2 linked regions of the Drosophila melanogaster genome follow. The protein of the gene in region 2 purifies or fractionates together with the protein of the main gene of each other region. This does not show direct contact. Each region holds a gene or a part of one and is shown on either strand. Other genes may lie near its edges. The genes, in order: Doc2 and Arc1.

Evidence for each region.
Region 1: the proteins of Arc1 (region 2) and Doc2 purify together in Drosophila melanogaster (affinity purification with mass spectrometry, with the first as the bait; one large-scale study listed by BioGRID). This does not show direct contact.

The regions. Positions count from the first base shown.
Region 1 is NT_037436.4:9,017,371-9,021,295, forward strand, and holds the start of Doc2 (Dorsocross2), read right to left. Parts: upstream 1,877-3,925; 5' UTR 1,522-1,876; coding exon 1,431-1,521; intron 716-1,430; coding exon 559-715; intron 1-558.
Region 2 is NT_033778.4:14,358,347-14,362,271, forward strand, and holds the start of Arc1 (Activity-regulated cytoskeleton associated protein 1), read right to left. Parts: upstream 1,952-3,925; 5' UTR 1,855-1,951; coding exon 1,090-1,854; 3' UTR 1-1,089. Other genes in the region: Arc2 (Activity-regulated cytoskeleton associated protein 2), read left to right, coding at 3,694-3,925.

The sequences.
Region 1 (3,925 bases), on a different chromosome or scaffold from region 2:
GCTATGCCTTTGATTCGTACTATCTACGATCTGAGCACGCAAAGTGCCGGCGAACTTGTTCGCTTTACGCCTCGTGCGATAGCCGATGTCCAGTGCGCATCAATTTTGGCTGAACCTGCAACCGCTTTTCCATTTCCCGATTTTCAATTTTCAATTTTCGATTTTCACATCCTGCCGACGTAAGTGCATCCTTCCGCCTTGTTTGCCTGTGAAAATCGTTGTCGCGACGCCGCTGTAAACAATTTGCAGGCGCCTGCATCTAATGAGCCTTTAACAGCAGCACATCCTCGCTGGACTCTACTGAATCGGATCGGAATCGGGATCGGGCCAGGGATCGGGCTAGGGATCGTTATAGGGTGCTTTAAGTGCCCGCGCCCGTTGGCTGGTTTATTATTCTTTGCCCTGCGTCTGGGGTATTAGTTTTCATGTTCGTGCTAATGCATCGCTACATCTATGTTTGTTCCCGATCTCTAAAGTCTGTATATCTCGAGATTCCCCCACTCTTGGTTTTTCATCATTTTCATCATCAAAGATCTTTTCTCTCTGTTCTAAACCTACCTGCCACTCTTGGTGATGATCATTTCCGTGCCAATTTGATGGAACTGCTTCCATAGATCGTCGTTCTGCAGGGTCATCTCCACGCCGGGCAACGTGACTCGAGGTGGCATGATCACGTGCCGTGGCATCGGAATTGGCAGCATCGGCGGAAACGGATCTGAAAAGAACAATAATCAATAGGGGGCTTATAGGTTAACAAAAGCTCAAGCAATCTAACAAACTACTTAGTCTTCAACAAAGAAAATTAAGAATTATTGAAATTATGTAAACATATTAACATGGTATTTGGCTAAAATGAAACCCATTCAAATAACTTAATAGTCGCCATTAGTTTAAGAGCGTGGGTCTGAATTAAAGTGTGACATTTCTGACTTATCCAAAGAGATCTTACGGCATAAATCCATATGATGACTGACATATTTGTCATAAAAACAAACGAACAAACATGGGGTTATATAAAAACGCTTATTTGGCGAACGAGGAACACCGATTCTTTCCCGATTACCAAACTTAATGCCCTCCATCTGGTATCCACAAAATAAGGAGCGATACTTTGGCAAACAACGATTTTGTTTTAGGGGTACGCTGATCCCGAAATTTAACGACCGTCGGCAACAAGAAAAATGCATTTGATATCAAGTTTCTCGATCGGCGATCACTTTCCCACATTACTCAGCTTTATGATCCGCTGGCCATAAACACCGCTACTCGCACACACCCCGCTGATCTTGGCCAACTTTGGTGGGCTGAGACAGTAACAGAAACAAAAGCAGTTTGCCAAAAGTTACGACCATTAATGCTAATGATGGCTAACAGCTTTGCCGCACGCGTAACGGGGCGGATGAGTGATATGAAGGGGGCAAGCAGTTTACCTGGTATGCGCTGCATGATCTGCTGGCGATAGATCTCGTGTGCTATGTGCTGCTGCATGCGCAGATCCACCAGCTCGTTCATGGTGATCATGATGTGTTGGGTCCAAAAATAGTACTAAATCTTTGCCCGAAACTTCTTTGTTTGGCGTTTGTCACTTGCACAATTGTTCCCCAGCACACAAAAAGCACTGTCACAACATATGGCGGTGTCTATTTTTTTGGAGCCCGGGTTTACTTTTTAGCCGAGCACGAGACGCCGCCGATTAGCGTCAATTATGCAAATCACGGCACACAAAAGTCTCTCATGTGCGTGGGTGTTAATTTGATTAGGCCCGGTGTCGCGTACGTGGGTTATTATTTTACCACAAATATATTGAGAGAATTTTTTGTATCTTTGGGCGACGGTCGTGTCTTGAGCTCGCCAAGTTCGCATTTCAACTGAGCAAGTTCCGCTGGCAGAGCGATCTCTCGATCGAGCTGAATGGAACGAGCTTGACTCGTTTCCGTCTTGAGCCATTGATCGAGATTACCTGCTGCTCACCATCGATTGGCTGTGGCAGTGTACGGAGTGCGGGAGCTAGCCGTCCCGCTCTGGTTTGGCACCTCCATTTTGAAAAATCCTCTCGATTTTCCAGATGCCATGGCTCCGCCCACGAAGCGCTGACTATCACTCTCTCTCTCTCTCTCTCTTCACATTGTGCCAGCTCGCTCTAATTGCGTTTAATTCTGAAGTGCGAAGTTGCACAGTCAGCGGAGGAGCAGCAACATGTTGCTTCTGGGTCCATTCGCTATGTGTGTGTGCGCTGGCTGGCTGCCTTTTAATTATGATCATGATGATTGAAATTGTTTTTTCTCCGTCTCCGCTTTTTGGCATCTTTTTGTGTATTTATGCTTTGCCCATTTGTAGCCGCTGCCATCACCATCACCATCATGGTGGTCCTCTTGTCTGGCCTCTCCAAGCCGTGTGTGTTTGTCGTTTTGCTGATCATTTATTACATTTTACCCGGCGCACTACAGAGAAAAGAATTTATTGATGCTGTTTGAACAGCAATTTGATGGTTTTTTATTGAAAAATATTTACTCTTGGTGTGTTTGGCAGCGTATTGTATAAGATATTGATCTAAGTATCAGTAAAAGTTCCAATCACTTACTTTAAAGTACCTTGTTTACCTGTTGGCGGATTGATGTTGGATGAAATTGCTTGGTCATCGTTGCAATAGTTTTTTTTTATACACATTTTAGAGTTTATCAGTAGAGAAGAATTGGTAAATAGTTTAATTAATTAATATATTGGGGCCCATTATACAATAATCTTTACTTTTTAATTAAACGAATAACACTTTAATGCAGTTTTCTCTGTGTAATTATATGTTATTTCGACTTTGACGCTGCGTCATTCAGGCATTGATATGGCGGCATCCAAAGGCCCGATATGGCGTCTCCACTTGCTGGTACACGAATATCTATAGGCTATAGTCTAGTCTACAGATATTGCCGGCGATGCAGGTGATCACTGTTTGTGGATCTGACCTTTTAGAGAGCTTGGCAAAACATTTGTTTCAAACGACGGAAACGCGTGTCGGAGCTGCTTGCTAACAAATTCGAAACTAATTAAGGCCCAATGAGGTGGTCTGAACTTTGACTGAAGTTAAGCATACGCCATGTGGGCCGACGATGGCGAAACGTGCTCGGTTTTTAATGTGTTGTTTTCTTTTTTTTTTTTTTGCCAACGACTAGTCTCGTGTTTGCCTCCAGTGCCACTTCCTTTCAAGTTTAAGACAATCGCTTGGCTTATCTGAACAGCATTACTGCGAAATTCCTGAGGCTCTCGATGGGTAAATATGTAGTTAGCCGAGCTAATTTACACAGCACTTTGCTGGCCTGACACATCCACGCATTATTTTCCTATGGATATGGCCATAGCCACAGTTGGCGGCGATAAGCGTCTGAAATTAATTTACTATTAGCAGGCCATTTCGCCCAAATTGCGTTCTGGCCACGTATGAATGTATGCGCCGTCTGACCATAATTTATGCCTCGCGTTTTCACATTTGGTCGCGCTCATTTCCGGTTGCGTTTTCCGTTCTGCCGTCTTTCAGCTCGACTACGTTCGTCAAACCATTAGACATCGATCCTGTAGAGCCTCTAAAGGGTCTGCCCTTTCAGACCATGCCAATAGCTGTGCAATTTGTCAGCACCCAGCTAATTGGTGCTGCCCCTGTGCCTGCTGTCTGACTAATGCATTTCGGTTTACTTCCGTTCGGTTCCGGATAAATGGGCCAACAGGTAGCAAATGATGCACTCGAAGAACTGCTAGTTGAGCAAGTAGTGTTTGCAATAATTAAAATACCTGCAGTTAGTTCGTTTTGCATGGGTTTCAGTCATCAAAGTATGGAGAAGCAAATTAAGCAAAAATTTCATTGAGTTCAGATAGATGGTCTTATCTATGACACATAGTCAAAGGAATTTTTGATTATTTTACTAGAGTGATAGTA
Region 2 (3,925 bases):
GTTTTGGCGTGCCAACCGCACGGATGGCGAATCGTTAGCCATCGTAGTGCTATGTGGGTTCGAATTGTTTTGACAAAAGTCAAAAAATTTGTTGGTTTTTTAAATCTCCGAAGAAATTTAGGTTTTGCCCGGCTCACGCCCACTGTAGCTCCACTCGCACGGGGGACATCGCGAAGGGTTGCGACACCGGAAACCGGAAGCAGCCGAAGCCGCTACCGGAAACGGGTGGCGCCCACCTTCAGGGCCGTCGAAATCCTCCTGCAAAAGGATCTAAGTGGGCATTCACCGGGCGGGGGGTTTTTTGCTAGCTTCACAAAGGACCAGGATCAGACGAAAAATCAGCAAATATATGGTTACAATAGCGATGATTGCCATGTCTCTCAACACAGTGATCATATCTTTTGATAGCCAAATAATCGCTTTTTCTCCGCTGACCGGCACAAAGTGGAGCCGGCGGTTGTGAGAATCAACGGTTGTGCGGGGCGGCTGGAGATCAGGCAACATCCATTTCAGACTCGCAATGTCAAAACATAAGATTCGAAGAAAATGGAGCTCCATGCCGAGGCACTTCACCCGCCATTTGGTTCGAATATCATATTCCTCCATTGCGAATAACCGATCTTACGGACGAAATGCCAGATCCTCAGCCGCCCCGCCCGATGATTCTCGAAATCTAGTTTCTAGTTGCAAATAAAGGTTCAATGTTGCAATAAAAATTATTGCTTTCCAAAAGCTGGCGTTCTGTGCCAAAGTAGCCGCAAGTCGGCGTGAAATTATATGAAAATAGAGCCGTTTTCGAGGCATTGCGAATAGCAATACAAACAGCGTGGATTTGTGGATTTCAGAAGCTAGTCGAGGCTTACCGGCACGCCGATTGCCAGTGAGTATGAAGAGTATGAAGAGATGTGGCTGCTGTTGCTGCTGTTGATGTGGCTGCTCCCCATCTCCAGCTCTCCGGTTGTTGGGCTCTCTCTGACGTCGATCGGCTGGCGAGGCTACGAAAAGTTCTGTTTGGGTGGGCGGCAGCAGCGATGAGGTCATCAATGACGTTGGCTGCTGCCTGTTGGTATTTGATGTTCTTTTTGTCGCCTACTCCTCGTGCTGCTCCTCCTGCCGATCCTTCTGGCGCTTACGGCAGTTGTCGAAGGTGTGCCCCCGGAAACTGCAGTAGGTGCAGCGGGTGGTGCGCTTGGAGCCACGGGTGTTCTTTGCTGTGGCAAGCTGTTCCTCGTCCTCCTGGTTGTTGTGCTCGATGATGCGGCCCTGTTCCAGGAGATCCTTGAAGGTATGGACACTGTGGCGGGAGATGTGCTTGCGGTACTTGATGTTCAGCAGACCGAACAGAAGATCCAGTTCCGTTTCCTCGTCGTGGCGACCGCTGGGCAGCTGGGCCAGCAGCGCTCGCTTCTGGATGACGAAGGTGTCAATGGGGTCATGGTCGTCCTGCTTGTTTTGGAAGAATTCCATGTAGATCTGGTAGGCGGGCTTGGTGGGCGAGAAGTGTTCGCGGATGAGAGCGATGGCTTCCTTCCACGTGGTGGCCTCCTTGCGGACGCCTTGCCACCAGGTGCTGGCCATACCGTAGAACAGCAGCGAGATGCCCTTCAGGGCGTTCTCGTCGCTGATACCTTCTACATCCTTGTATGTCTCGATGTTGCCGATGAACTCCTCGACCACGTCGTGGTCGCGGGTTCCGCCGAAGCTGTGTGTGCAAGCGGAGAAGTTGCCTTTGCCTCTGCTGGCGTCTGCTCCTCCGGCTGCTGCTGCACTTCCGGCGGCGCCCACGGCGGCCGCTCTTACAGCTTCGATCAGCTCGCGGAGCTGCTCGTTGGTCATCTGTGTAAGCTGGGCCATTTTCGCTGCTGTGTGAGGTTAGGTGATCAAATTAATCTTGGTTCAGTCGGCGGACAAAGCCAGTGTAGCGAATGCGGCCGGTGATTTGAACTGAACAGCTCTCCCACATTGCAGCCCTTTTATATCCGCCTGTTGTGAAATCGAACTTCGAAAAAGCTTGAGGCATTGGGGAGAGCCAATAAGAGAGGGAAGGTCTATGTTTTTGGTATTATTGCTCAGAGTGAATCATCACGAAACGGGTGGCGCCCACCTTCAGGGCCGTCGAAATCCTCCTGCAAAAGGATCTAAGTGGGCATTCACCGGGCGGGGGGTTTTTTGCTAGCTTCACAAAGGACCAGGATCAGACGAAAAATCAGCAAATATATGGTTACAATAGCGATGATTGCCATGTCTCTCAACACAGTGATCATATCTTTTGATAGCCAAATAATCGCTTTTTCTCCGCTGACCGGCACAAAGTGGAGCCGGCGGTTGTGAGAATCAACGGTTGTGCGGGGCGGCTGGAGATCAGGCAACATCCATTTCAGACTCGCAATGTCAAAACATAAGATTCGAAGAAAATGGAGCTCCATGCCGAGGCACTTCACCCGCCATTTGGTTCGAATATCATATTCCTCCATTGCGAATAACCGATCTTACGGACGAAATGCCAGATCCTCAGCCGCCCCGCCCGATGATTCTCGAAATCTAGTTTCTAGTTGCAAATAAAGGTTCAATGTTGCAATAAAAATTATTGCTTTCCAAAAGCTGGCGTTCTGTGCCAAAGTAGCCGCAAGTCGGCGTGAAATTATATGAAAATAGAGCCGTTTTCGAGGCATTGCGAATAGCAATACAAACAGCGTGGATTTGTGGATTTCAGAAGCTAGTCGAGGCTTACCGGCACGCCGATTGCCAGTGAGTATGAAGAGTATGAAGAGATGTGGCTGCTGTTGCTGCTGTTGATGTGGCTGCTCCCCATCTCCAGCTCTCCGGTTGTTGGGCTCTCTCTGACGTCGATCGGCTGGCGAGGCTACGAAAAGTTCTGTTTGGGTGGGCGGCAGCAGCGATGAGGTCATCAATGACGTTGGCTGCTGCCTGTTGGTATTTGATGTTCTTTTTGTCGCCTACTCCTCGTGCTGCTCCTCCTGCCGATCCTTCTGGCGCTTACGGCAGTTGTCGAAGGTGTGCCCCCGGAAACTGCAGTAGGTGCAGCGGGTGGTGCGCTTGGAGCCACGGGTGTTCTTTGCTGTGGCAAGCTGTTCCTCGTCCTCCTGGTTGTTGTGCTCGATGATGCGGCCCTGTTCCAGGAGATCCTTGAAGGTATGGACACTGTGGCGGGAGATGTGCTTGCGGTACTTGATGTTCAGCAGACCGAACAGAAGATCCAGTTCCGTTTCCTCGTCGTGGCGACCGCTGGGCAGCTGGGCCAGCAGCGCTCGCTTCTGGATGACGAAGGTGTCAATGGGGTCATGGTCGTCCTGCTTGTTTTGGAAGAAGTCCATGTAGATCTGGTAGGCGGGCTTGGTGGGCGAGAAGTGTTCGCGGATGAGAGCGATGGCTTCCTTCCACGTGGTGGCCTCCTTGCGGAGGAACCGCCACAAACTGTGCTCTCCAATTATTCAAAAATGTTGAAGAGAGAGAGAGTGTTGGATATTTTTCGAAACTCGAAAAAGCTTTTACTTACGGAGAAAGAGAGAGGGAGGAGAGCAATGTGGCTTTTCATTTCACAACAAGCGAAATTGCCAGTTGCCCCCCAACCGTCTAACGATTGGGGCTTGAAATCGGAATTGAGCTGGTCTATTTCGGGCGCTTGTTTACTCATTTTTTAAACCCAAACAAACCCAAGAAACCGGCAACAAAATGACGCAGATGTCCGACGAACAGTTTCGCATATTCATAGAAACCATTAAATCGCTGGGGCCAATCAAAGAGGAACCGCCATCCAAGGGTAGCTTTAGCAACTGCACGGTGAGATTCAGTGGCCAGCGGGATCACGATGCCGTGGACGAGTTCATCAATGCCGTGGAGACGTATAAAGAGGTGGAGGGCATCAGCGACAAGGATGCGCTAAAGGGTTTGCCGCTGCTCTTCA